3 linked regions of the Arabidopsis thaliana genome follow. The protein of the gene in region 1 interacts with the protein of each later gene in a pairwise test. Each region holds a gene or a part of one and is shown on either strand. Other genes may lie near its edges.

What was found. The genes of interacting proteins can lie anywhere in the genome.
Region 2: the proteins of TCP16 (region 1) and ERF9 interact in binary tests that used the Arabidopsis thaliana proteins (3 or more experiments, as listed by UniProt).
Region 3: the proteins of TCP16 (region 1) and WOX4 interact in binary tests that used the Arabidopsis thaliana proteins (3 or more experiments, as listed by UniProt).

The regions. Positions count from the first base shown.
Region 1 is NC_003074.8:16,529,601-16,533,615, forward strand, and holds TCP16 (TCP domain protein 16), read left to right. Parts: upstream 1-1,578; coding exon 1,579-2,076; downstream 2,077-4,015. UniProt on the Arabidopsis thaliana protein: Required during early processes in pollen development.
Region 2 is NC_003076.8:17,804,303-17,809,089, forward strand, and holds ERF9 (erf domain protein 9), read left to right. Parts: upstream 1-2,094; 5' UTR 2,095-2,439; coding exon 2,440-3,042; 3' UTR 3,043-3,239; downstream 3,240-4,787.
Region 3 is NC_003070.9:17,234,976-17,240,368, reverse strand, and holds WOX4 (WUSCHEL related homeobox 4), read left to right. Parts: upstream 1-2,183; 5' UTR 2,184-2,415; coding exon 2,416-2,658; intron 2,659-2,877; coding exon 2,878-3,195; coding exon of another isoform or gene 3,196-3,207; exon of another isoform or gene 3,208-3,271; coding exon 3,272-3,466; 3' UTR 3,467-3,845; downstream 3,846-5,393. UniProt on the Arabidopsis thaliana protein: Promotes differentiation and/or maintenance of the vascular procambium, the initial cells of the developing vasculature.

The DNA.
Region 1 (4,015 bases):
GTAAAAGTGAATATTTGATTTAAAATGAGTCAAAATATATTTGATTTGACGAATTCTAAAAGTGTTCCGCTTGAGTTATAGAAACATGCTCAAAATGATGGTGATGACTTTTTTTTAGTTCTTTATTTGAAAAGTCAGTTTGGAAATGAAAACAGTAAGGCTGACCAAACAATATACAGTATGTTATCCAACTCTTATCCGTTTTAAGAAAACAAAGTATGTGTAAGAGTCGGGTAATATGATATCAGGTTATTTCTAAACCATCTGTCTTGTAACCCATCATTTTACTTGGATATATTTTCTTACATACAAATAATTTATTATAATAGTTTAGACATGTCAATTGGACTAGTCCAGTCTGACAAAGTCCAGAAAATTCGAATATATTTTATTTAGTCTGGTTCGGTTAGTAAAAATTTTGAAATAAAAAAATTTGAACTTATATTTCAAGATCTGGTAATAACAGGGACAAGACTTTTCCAGGTTTTTTATGTTTTTCTTTCCAGAAAAAAACAAATTTATAATTTATAATATTTCTGAAAGATGGATATATGAACAAAACAAATCAGTTGAAATTTAAATAACCATGAAAGCCAGTTTATTTTCAAAAAAAAAGGTTTAAAATCAAAAAAAATAATCTAATTTTTTTATTTAAACTCATAACAAATAAAATATAAAATCAGAAGATTTTAATCTAGACAGTCGAGCCAAGATTTGTTTTTTAGATTTATAGTAAGGCACAATTGAAAAACTAGGTTTAGGGTTTTCAATACTATTAAAAAAAACAAAAACAAATATTCCAATTAAAGAAAAATATTAACAAAAGAAAAGTAAAAAAAAAAATTAAAATTTTTTTAGGCCGGCTTGAATCTGGTGGGATTAAGCCTCAAAAACTTTTTATCCCGAATGGGTTAGCTTAAGGGAATTTTCTGGATATATATTTTTAAGTCTGAATCTCTATTTTCAGAATTGATAGTCCGGGGAATTTGACCCTAAATGAAATATAGTTTGATAAATAAACAAATAGACAATATCTGAAGAACAAATTAACCGTCCAAAAAAAAATATGCGAACTCCTATCCAAACACCTAGTTTAAAAATAACAATATAATATTTTAAATAACAATGTTGGAATATCATTAATTTCTAAGGAAAAAAACTAAAACCTTAACTTTAAAAAAATTAAAATAGGATAAAATAGGACTATACTTGTACAGTTGTATCAGTAAATAATAATTTCTGTAAACTGCCAGAAGAAAGGTTTATTTTCCTTTTTTTAGTGGACCTATCAATTAATTATTCCAATATAACTTCTTTTTTTCAGGTCCACTAAATATATTTTCTATACTACATATTATATTACATGATAATATTTCATTCTCAAATATACCTATATAAATTTAAGATTTCTTCTATTTACCAATTAGTTTAATTATTAGTTTGTTACACCATTATTGTTTTCCATACATAACATAAATAGAAATAGAGTTTTCTGTAACGTTTCTATATAATCCAAGTGAAACAAACATATTTTCCACTTCCATTTACAAAAGAAAAAGAAAAAAAAAACAGAGAAAAATGGATTCGAAAAATGGAATTAACAACAGCCAAAAGGCAAGAAGGACTCCAAAAGACCGCCATTTGAAAATTGGTGGCCGTGATCGTCGCATTCGGATCCCGCCGAGTGTTGCTCCCCAACTATTTAGATTGACAAAAGAACTCGGCTTTAAAACCGATGGTGAAACTGTCAGTTGGCTCCTCCAGAATGCCGAGCCTGCCATTTTCGCAGCCACGGGACATGGTGTCACCACCACCTCCAATGAAGATATCCAGCCAAATAGGAATTTTCCTAGTTACACCTTTAATGGTGATAATATTAGTAATAACGTTTTCCCTTGTACGGTTGTAAATACTGGTCATCGTCAGATGGTGTTTCCGGTTTCTACAATGACAGATCATGCACCTTCAACTAATTACAGTACTATTAGTGATAATTACAATTCCACCTTTAATGGTAATGCTACCGCCAGTGATACAACATCAGCAGCAACAACAACAGCCACAACCACAGTTTGAGCTTGTGAAGGAGGAGACGGCGTCGCTGAGAAGGCCAATTTGGAGTCTTTAAAATAAATATTGGAGATTTAAGAGTGTTCAGTTCTGGACGTTTTAGTTCGTTTCTGTTTGCTTTTTCTTTCCTCTTCATGTTTTTCAGTTTGAGAGTTGAACTAGGGTTTGTTTTAGTTCGATCGGTATCCATTTGTCTTTTTTTCTTGTATGCTCATGTTTTTTTAAGATGAATAATAATACCTAAAATTAATTATAGATGTAATTTAAAACTGTTTGTCCATGTTTGAAGTTTAGTAGAGAATTTGATTTCAACAATGGATTAAATTAAACTCTTCACAACAAATTTGATTCATTTTTTCTTTTTTGGACACGAACAATTTCGTTGGTATTCTAGAATAAATAATTCTGTCATAATATTTACCGAAACATAACTTTTATGTACAGTTATTTATTTCCGTTTTCTAATTTGTCAAAATTCGTTTGTCTTTCGAACCTAAAGGTTCCAACGGTTATGAAAACATTAATTAAAAACGGATATCAAAAACTATAATATAAATAAATTAAAGAGATAATAAAAGGAACAATTGAGTAAGAATGTGGTTTTATATCTGTTAAAGAAATTTCCAGCTCACACTTAGCTGGACAATAATTATTTAAGATTTGTTTCTGTATTTAGCTTCATACATCTATTTTAATATTTCTTAATACACAGATATATATTTTAATATATATATATATATATTATTTTCAAGATTCTCAAGGAAAAAAAAAGAAAAAAAAAAGGAAGGAAAACTAAATCTAAAGAATAAGAAACTAATTTTTGTGTAAATAAAAATTACTTTAATAAACTTTTAATAGTTTTCCCTTAAATTCTTTTACTTTATAGATTGGTTAATATGTATTTAGAGAAAAATACTATTTAACCTTTATTTAGATTAAAAAAAAAAACTTGAGTAAGAAAATGGTTTAAAATTCTTAAAGAAAATTCCAGCTCACTTTAAGCTAGAAAAAGAGATTATATAGTTTATAGTATAAAAATAAATTTAATCATACCATGTTTAATAAAATTTGAAGAAAAACTTATTTTCTTTTTCCATGAATAACAAGATTTTTCTTAACAATTAAAATTTCTTTTAGCAACATATATTAATACTTTAGTTTTCTGTTTTTTTGTTGGACATGGGTTCCGCCCCATTCCAAAAAGCCCGGCCCAAATATAGTTAGGCCCATAAGAAAGAGACTTGCGTTTGGTCCGTTACACAAGCTCAGCCCATTAAGTATCGTCAATTTGCTGGGAGCAGAAAAGAAAAATCATCCCGAGTTCATGACCGCATATATCTTCCCTATAAAAGCGGAAAAACACTGTCGAGAAAGGATCCCGAATTTCACGCTGACACATATGTAGAGAGTACATGTAATCTCCTTCGTACAAGTTTCCCCATTGAGTTCCTAGGAAGCCTTTTTTTAATCGTTAGTACGTACGAACATCTTTCGAACCAAACGCCTTGTCCGTCATTCTTGCACCTTTATTCAAACGAGTTGGATACATTGTCTTCTCGGATTGTCCTTGTAAACTCGTACCTTCACCTTGTATAATCTTGTATTCGCCAAACCTAATTCGTCTTATAAGAGATTATCCGTCCTTCTCCTTAAACCTTTACATGAATTGTATGATTTGAGTATCAACAGTTTTTGTTTAGGGAACTACGGTTTCAGCTTCAAGCAACTCTGACGGTTCTAATGGTCATCGATGGCCAAAAAAGTGCAAGAAAGTATTTTTCAAAATAGAATTACTCAGTTATACATAGGGAACAAAAAAAAGATAATACAATAATCGAACATAATTAGACATTCTTAATAAAGCATTAAGAGGTTCAGATTTATAGAAGGATTGCCTCATATTCATAGGTTTTATTTTTATAATTTTTTTTTTCTTTAACATCTA
Region 2 (4,787 bases), on another chromosome or scaffold:
TTAGGTCTCGACATAATAATCGAACCCTACGAACCAACCCAAACCCGACCGAAAACCCTGATCCAAATCCAAAAATTTCAAATATTCAACGGGTCCTAAACTTCAAAACCCGAAAAACTCTAACCCAAACCCGATCTGAACAAATATCCAAACATACCTCAAATATTTGATATATTATTTATATTCATACTTAAATACAGAAAATATTTGGATATTTGGATATTTTAGTTATTTTGTGTATTTTAGGTTACTTTGGATATATTAAAGTAAAACTATTCGTGTTGTTTTGAGAGTTTTTGAAATTTTCAAGTAATTTGATAAATTTACATACAAAATTTTGATATTTTAATATTTAAATAAACCTGAACTCGAACGGTTTAAAATTTTAAAATACCCGAACGGGTCTTAAACTTCTAAATCTGAAATACACAAACTCGAAATATTCGATCCGAATACTGAACGCCCTTTAGTTTTAATTTGGTTTAAATGATATTCCGGTTTGGTTTGTTGTGGTTGTTGGTTTTAATTTCACAGTTCAGCATTAGCAAACCTTAAATTTTATATTTTTAAACATCCTTTATTTCTAATTTCTAGATTTTTGCCTATGAAGATATCTTCAAAGTAATGTTTTAAGAAAATACCTCTTTAAGGACAAGAAAATCATATAAGGAACTTTGCTGAGGAGACATAGAAATAGTTATTTCTCGTTGTTGTAAGCGGTGGTTTAGGTGACTCATTTTCGAAGTTAAAGCTCTCGTTAAATCTGTGTTGAAGCTTCATAATCTACTATGGTGTTCCCTCCAGATCACTTTTTATTACTCCAATACTCATTTTTGAGAGATTCACTGAAGATACTCTAACATACATACGTGTATCTGTAACGTAACGGGATTCAAATACCATTTTTTCTCTTTTTTTGTGTTATGTTGTAGGATCAAAAAAATTGTGACTTTTGTGTGGATTAACATTTGACAATAACGTTAGACGTATCCATTATTCATGTGTTAAAGTAAAATACTTATTCAATAAAAGTTAATATAATTCTAAATTTGTTTTATTTATCGAGTTAAATGAGTTAACTATAACATATATTACATATATGAAATCCTCTACAGCTGTTACACAACAATGTTCATCAATATCCAATGCTGCTATTCTTCTGAAATCTGGACATCAATCGCAAAGAATGTGTACAAAGATAGATTTTCCACAAAATGGTCTGCTGTGGTGAATTACATATCTGATTCTCAGCCTGATCGCATCCAAAGTTTCTTATCCAGGTACACATTCCAAGTCTCTATTCATTCCATTTGGAGGGAGAGAAATTCTCGTCGTCACGGAGAGAAGTCACGTTCAGCTTCAAACCTCATCCGACAGATAGACAAGACTATTAGAAACCAGCTATCGACAATCAAAAAGAAAGGGGATCTTCGACTCGAGAAGGGGCTGCAAGTATGGTTTGACATGCGTCCATAGCATCCTCTAAGAAAGAAGACTCTGTTTTTGCTCTCTCAATTCTATTTACTCTGTTTTTGATCTAGCTCTATTTCTCTTATTATCAAAATATCAAAAAAGCTGATGTAAAAAGTATATTTTTTCTTTTAAATATAATTTGACATTTTATTCAAAAAAAAAAAAAAACAATGTTCATCAATAAAGTTGATTGTTGTTGATTTCTTAAAACAGGAAATCAACGAAATCTCCCAAAGTAAATAAAATTGTGTATCAACCTGTATGCCATGTATCTAAATAACAAATCAAAATCTTTTAGCAATAGATTCAAAAAAAAAGAAAAAACTTTTTGCAATATGATATGTCATATAATGATAATTAAGTTGATACAAATTGGATTCTTAAAATAAACTGGATTCTTAAGCTGCTAACCATTTATTAAAAAAAGATATTGACACATTTACCTACTCACATATTATCAAACCATATATCTAAATCACCTACTACATATTTCATTCGAAACATTGTACATAAATATATCTCTATACAAAATTTAAATGACAACATTGTCAACATAGAAGTATAGAACCGTGGCTATTAGCTATTCATATTGGGCCGACAAAAAAAAAAAAAAAAGGCTATTCATATTGGTGGGTACTAAAATAAGGCTTGGAAATTCATATTAATGTAAAACTCATTTAATCGTTAGAGAGCGTGGTAGTCATGTAGATTAATGAAGGAGCGTGAGATCAAGCAATCAAATTACGCAAAGTCACGCCGCAGTAACGGGACGTTAAGGCAAAAAGCCGTCACAAAAACATTAAAACCTCTCACATTGTCTGTTTTTTGGGCGGCGCTTTTCAGTCAAACCCTCGTTGACCGTCTCTTTCTCTTTCTCTAAACCAAAAACCTTTTCCTTTATAAATTAAACCAAAAACAACGTCACTTCTCTATCTAAACGAGAATATATCTCTTCTTTTATAAGCAATGGCTCCAAGACAGGCGAACGGTAGAAGCATTGCCGTGAGTGAAGGCGGCGGAGGGAAGACGATGACGATGACGACGATGCGGAAGGAAGTGCACTTTAGAGGTGTGAGGAAGCGTCCATGGGGTAGATACGCGGCGGAGATCCGTGACCCGGGAAAGAAAACCCGGGTTTGGCTCGGGACATTCGACACGGCGGAGGAAGCTGCAAGAGCTTACGACACCGCCGCTAGAGAGTTTCGTGGCTCCAAAGCAAAGACTAATTTCCCTCTTCCCGGAGAGTCTACTACGGTTAACGACGGTGGCGAGAACGATTCTTACGTCAACCGTACGACGGTGACGACGGCGCGTGAGATGACGCGTCAGAGATTTCCGTTTGCATGTCACCGGGAGCGTAAAGTCGTCGGTGGTTATGCTTCTGCTGGTTTTTTCTTCGATCCGTCAAGAGCTGCTTCGTTAAGAGCAGAGCTTTCTCGGGTTTGTCCGGTTCGGTTTGATCCGGTTAATATCGAGTTGAGTATTGGTATTCGAGAAACCGTAAAAGTTGAACCGAGAAGAGAACTAAACCTGGATCTTAACCTAGCTCCACCGGTGGTGGACGTTTAGATTTTTTTCTTCTTTTCATAATTTGTATTTTACATTGCCGGAAAATAATTAATGTTTTCTTTAGTAGATGAGAAAAAGAAAAATCTCCTATGTTTTTGGCTAAGTAAGAGGAATTTTTTTTCAGAAATCTCCTATGGTTCCCTAATTACGTGGATGTAATTAATTACTAATCAAATATCTCCTTTTGATATTTTTTTTCTACTTTTGATGTTTTTTCTTAAATGTCTTAAAATGACATGATGGTTGGTTGATGTATCAAATAGGTAGTAGATATCACTCCATTAAATGGATGTGGAATATGAAACCAAGAAACATCGAACATTTAGATGGTCTGTCAACATCAAACAATTTAGTATAGGAGAGTACCCAAAAATAAAAATAAAAAAATCGGATGATCATGACACAAAAAAGTAGTTATCGTTTTCATTAGTTTTCTCATTATATTGAATTATGGTTTCATGGTTTGGTTTATAAATTAGACATGTAAAATTCTTTTTTCATCTATGAATTGTGTAGGAAGAAAATTAAATTCAAAAGTAAAAAAACTGTAGTGAGTTATGAGTTTTTTTTTAAAATGTATTTGAAAAGTAGAGTGGTAGCATCATGAGTCCAATCTTCGAGTTTCGTGTAGATGGGGATGATGGCATGAGTGTCAGGTGGGAGGCACGTGTGCTTTAGCCGTCCATAATCTGTTTTGTTCCTATGCTTTCAATTTTTTTAAACCACAAACATATTTTGGCTAGGGTGGCTTTCTTACGTCTAATTATTATGTTTTGGTTTTATTTTTGTCATCTAAAATTTTATTAATAAAAAGATGAAATATATATACCGCTGATAAAAATTAAATAAAGAGATAAAATTATATTATATGTTAGTAATAACTCTTTTGAGATGTAATTAATTTTGTTGAAAAAAAATCATAAGTACTAAAAAGGATCGCATCTAAACACTATTGAACAAAAGTTAGAGAGATTTTCATAAAGGTTCCCCTATAGAATATCTAAATGTCGGAACCACCAATAAATCCGAATAGACCAGGCACCAAAGATAAGCAAATAACAAACCAATATGGATGAAAATAAAAATCCAACACGACCATAGGACTCAAATAGAACTACTAACACACTTCACCAACAAACCACAGAAAGCAAGAAACACTAGAATTAAGACAAAAACTTTAAATTGACTGCAGATAAATCACGTAAGATCAATAATTCTTATATGCAGATATTAGTCGAAGTAGCGTAGCCATCTATAAACTTAGAGCTGATTAGCGTTCTATCTAATTATCTATAAATTGTTTAATTACATTAGTTTTTATTGGAATGAGTATATTATAAAACCAAAAACCATCACAGCTATCAGATTTATAACCCTCTAACCCGTTAATTAACAAAGCCTAAAAGTCAATCCCATCTTTATATCAGAAACTTTAATACACATTTTTATTATAACAATCAATTATATAAGGAAAGATCCAAACAAATTCTATATCATGCATTGGATAAGTCGCCGAAGTGGGTGTGGGACTCAAATTAAGGTCCGGTAAGCAGATATATGTGTGGCTCCTACAATTAGTCGGCAGATTCTGCGGAGCGTTCATTCTAACTATTTTCTCACGCACTTCATTATCGCGTGTCACTCACCGACAAAACATAGACCACGTGATCTCACCGCCTCGCGCTTAAGTTCATACAATTTTGGCCATTGCCTGAAACAGCAGCTCCAACCATGTCTCACCGCGT
Region 3 (5,393 bases), on another chromosome or scaffold:
AAAAGATGAGGAGGAGATCGAAGTAAACAAATTGGAAGAAAAAGAGATCCAACAATGATTGGTTGTGAACATGTTATGCTAGTTTATTTCAAATTTTGAAACCCTAAACCTCAAACCATCAGTAATCTGTCATTACCGACATAGTATTACATATGGATCGAAAAATAAACATGTTAAATATGTGTCCTAAAAAAATACATATGAACAGTGGTAGAGGCAAGTGTAGTGGAGGAGGGTCACTGCATATGAATATCGACGATATAGTATGGGCCATAGATAATTGAAGAAATAACCATCTGATCACAGCTTGACACACGAATCAGGTTATCCATCGTGTGATGACATTTTTCAAAAAATATGAATGGTATTACCAGTTTCTTGTTATGCTTTGGGTTCAGTAAAGTTCCACTCATTTTCCAGTATCTGATGAATGATAGAGCAGTCTTTTTAGAACTTTGAGCTTTCATATTCCTTCCGTCCAACAAAGATGAATTTTCTATGGAAAAAAATTGTCCCACAAAGATACAAATTTTGTATTTTTAATATAAATTTTAAAATTGTTTACCTGTTTTATCCTAAGTAAATAAGTAGATAAATATTTTTTATTATTTTTAAAATATATTAAAAGGTTAAAATTGTCAGTATACATTATTTTTTAAAAATGTGAAATTTCTATAAAAAAATCCATCTTCATAGGATAAAGATGTTATTAATTTTAGCTATTAGTCATGATCAACCTACACTGGTACTTCTATATTTCCTCCATGATATCAATTTTTATGTTTTAACCAGTGATATGAACTGTGACTTTCCACCTTCATAACTTTGATATCCATATATATTAGTGTAAGTTTCGTACTGTACATATACTTGCATCATAACTGGATTAGCCGAGACTAAATAATTTTGACTATTCTTCACAGTTCATACTCAAGGTCTCTGTTCTTTGTAATTCTAGACTACATATCAAATAAAAAGATGATGATATATTAGTCAAAACTCAAAAGTAATTAGAAGAAAAAACTTTGTAATTCCGGAATATCATACGTTACTACTTTTCATTAGTAAAATACCCAAATTACTTGGGAAATTGAGGTTCTGCAGTTCCCGATGTACAAGAGAATAACAATACAATACACTGATCTAAAGTGAATGGGACGCTTGACATTGCCAAACCAAACCATGCTTTTGTATCAATATCTAATAAACATATAAGCTTAAATTTATAATGATGTATTATTATCAAAATAAACAATGATAATATAACATTAAGATATTTCTAGCCTTTTCTTTTCCGCATAAAAGTCTGTCCTGGCTCATTATAAACTACCACTAATTTAGGCAAAATCCGTATCTTAACAAAAGTAATAAAAGCAATTTCGAGTATTGGGATTGGAAGATACCTTTTCCCCTTATTCATTCTTCTTCTCATTCTTCTTTTCTCTAAATAAAGTAGTTGAGACTTGAGAGCCACCGAAAAGCATTCGACATCCTATCATTAAAGCTAACTTTTTTCAGTGTTTTATTTCTAAAATAATTTCTTAAAATAAAGAAAGGTGAGAGAGAAATTATGTCCCTATACAACTAGTAGAATGAAAGATTGTCAAGCTTTGGTTTGGGATTTTTCTAATAAATCACATGCATTTGTTAGAATTTGATCCCAAAAAAAAAAAATTCAAACCTTTTTCCTGTAAAAGCAAACCTATTGGCTCGTAGGTCAATGTCAATCTCAATGAATAGTAAAGTCTTTTGATATCACGTATCTATAACATATTATTTTTAGCGTGGTTCATGTCCCTCAACATTCTGCCTAAATTATAGGATCTCAAGACATAGTACTATAGACTACAACTACAAGTAGAGGAAAATTTTATAAGAGAGATAAATTATGCGGTATTCACGCATGACATGCGTAAGCATGAAACTAAAATTTGGTTGATACATTACTATGCCGAATTTAAAGTAGTGCTCCATGCAGACATGAACATATCAGATATCACACGTACGCATGTATTACGTGTATGTAGAGACACACGTACGCATATCTATATTCACACAATGAGATTTCACTTTCTCAAACAAAGATCACTGTCTTCAATTAGTTTCAAATTTGTTCTTTACCTATTGCTTTTACATTTCTGAGTGTATATATTTACAATAAGGACAAGGAGATTTTAAATGATAAAAGTCAACCATATCCCATCATTTGGTCTTTGGTTTCCCGACGTCCCACTTTTGTAAAAATCATCTGTTCATTTTCCATTCTTTTTCTTTTTCCTACCCAACTGGATATCACCAATGATATCATTATACACTAACACTATCATTTCACACTTATCTTCCTCTATATATACATAGCTTAAGTCTTGTAACGAGAAAGGCATGCATAGCATTTGCTAGTTTTAACATATAGCAATGAAGGTTCATGAGTTTTCGAATGGGTTTTCTTCATCGTGGGATCAACATGACTCGACATCATCCCTTAGCCTAAGCTGCAAACGCCTCCGTCCTCTCGCCCCTAAGCTCTCCGGCAGCCCTCCCTCCCCTCCTTCTTCTTCCTCCGGCGTCACTTCAGCCACTTTTGACCTTAAAAACTTCATTAGACCCGATCAAACCGGTCCGACAAAATTTGAACACAAACGAGACCCTCCTCATCAAGTCAGTTCCATTATTGTACTTCGTACATTTTACATCGTTTCTTTCGTTTGAAAAAAGAAGAAGAATTCACTCTAGAAGAATTTTGATAATTGCGGCATACCTAATACTTTGACATTTATAAATTATAACGACTGGAGTGGTTCCTTTTATTATTAATTTTATTTATTTATTTTAATGTATGATTCCTAACAAATGTAATGAAATAATGTGTGGGTTCAGTTGGAGACGCACCCGGGAGGGACAAGGTGGAACCCGACTCAAGAACAGATAGGGATACTTGAGATGTTGTACAAAGGTGGAATGCGTACTCCTAATGCTCAACAGATTGAGCATATCACATTGCAACTCGGTAAGTACGGGAAAATCGAAGGGAAAAATGTGTTCTATTGGTTCCAGAACCACAAAGCCCGCGAGAGACAGAAGCAGAAGAGGAACAACCTCATCAGCCTAAGTTGCCAAAGCAGCTTCACGACCACTGGTGTCTTTAATCCGAGTGTAACTATGAAGACAAGAACATCATCGTCACTAGACATTATGGTAGGAATTTAAGGATTTTGTATAGTTTTGTGGTTTTGATCAACTATATTTAAGGATAATTTTTATGATTGTGTAGAGAGAACCAATGGTGGAGAAGGAGGAGTTAGTGGAAGAGAATGAGTACAAGAGGACATGTAGGAGCTGGGGATTTGAGAACTTGGAGATAGAGAACAGGAGAAACAAAAATAGTAGTACTATGGCAACTACTTTTAATAAAATCATTGACAATGTAACCCTCGAGCTTTTTCCTCTCCATCCTGAAGGGAGATGAAGTCATGAAGGTGAGGCAGAAAATTGTGGAATTCTTATGTAGATCTGGTTTAGGTTCAGAGGAATCAATTGGTATCTAGAAATTCAAAATAAAAATAAAAATAGGAATAAGTCTCTAAAACTACAAAATCTACTTAAGAATTCCCTTATTAATCTGCGAGTTTGATGTATCCTATGTAGATTATTTTTGCGATGTAATCTTAATTATGAATGCTCAGTTTAGCTCATCTTTTTTTCGCGTTTATTCTTGACAAATTCACTAGTGATCAGTTGTACTCTCTTCTGATTTGGCCATCTAAGTATTTCTCTAGATCGTTGGTATGTAGGAATGTTTCATTTAGAGAAATTTCTGAATAAAGACACATTTGATGTTGTTAAAATAATATCTCTGTCTTAATTCCTACGTACGTACAAGAGCAAGAAGTTAAAAGGAAATAATAATAGCATTTCCCGTTGAAAAGGGGGTAGACCTAGTATATTTCTATATAAACAAACATTGAAATCTAAAACTTTTTGTACTGTTATATACTTATATTAAAACTCTTAGTAAAACAGGTGACTCAATAATATTTATATTAATTTTTTATTTTTGATAAATATATACTAAATAAGTTTATGAGATGATAACAAGAAGAATCTTTTCAAGAATTTGATATTTCCAATGGAATGTGTACAAAGACATCAATATATGTAAGCTGTGGTGTGTATGTGGTTAGTTGTTTGTCTGATGCTTTATTGACTCTCGCAAGTGGTTGTTTTGTATTTTGGTTGAAACAAAGAGAGAGTTTTGCTTTTTAGGTTAAAAGTTGAAATGGCATTATATGAGACACACTCACTGAAGTCCATGCACTCGCTTTCCCGCTACATTGCATGCTAGCTAGCTGTTTCTATACATACGCAGATATATGTAGCTCTTCTATATTTTCGCACTTAATTATTGTAAGTGACATTCTTCTTTTCATTTTGGTTATATGCCGATAATTTTGTTTTATTTTCTGATAGCTAACTTCTACTTGGTTGTTAATTATATACCAATTTTCCTTCTTTTTTTCTTTTAAATGTTGATGCAACGTAAAACAAAACTGTATATTTCTACAGTGATTTTAAATAAACGCTAAACTTAAAATAATCTTTTTTGGTAAAGGGTTTAAGATAAATTATAACTTTGTTGGACATCAATTAAACATATATAGAAGTACTCTAAGTTTCTTTATGTTTAGATTATGATTTCTAATTGAAACAAACACATTTCCAGCTAAGTTTATCTTTAATAACCAAACTACCTAATATTTTAAGTCTATCTTTACCGGTAATCATATTCTCAAATGATTATTTGCCATGCATTATGAATTGGTTGCCCGTGGGCGTGGGGCATGGCGTTCCATTACTTATAATCTTGGAGGGAAGCAAGATTGAAATTTAGAAATAAAGAACTTTATTCAATTGGTAATGGGACCATGACTATTTTTTCAATAATTCAATGTTTCTTGGTTTTCACGTGTACATATATATAAGTCCAAAATAATTTCAAACACATAGTATTCAAATAGTATTAGGCCTATCGAAACCGGTTTTGGCCAGGCCGGTCAGCTTGCTACATGTATGGGTTAGCAAACAACGGGCTTCGTGGGCTCTACGACGGCAATGTGTTGGAATTGTATCCTTGATTGAATCTGAAAAAGAAGAAGAAGAATCCATGAGAAGAAGAAGATGAAGAACAGAGGAAGAAGAAGATGATGTCGTGAAGAGAAGAGTCAAAGGAAGAGAAGAAAGTCAACAAACATATGGGCTTTGTGTTTTGTAATATGGTTGTAATGGGCTGAAGATGAATTAGGCCCAAGTATGTTTAGTTAAAGAGTGTTGTGTTGTAAGTCTAAGTTAGAGTAGAAGAGTGAATCAAGGAGTGAGAGTTCCAATGTATGTAGAAG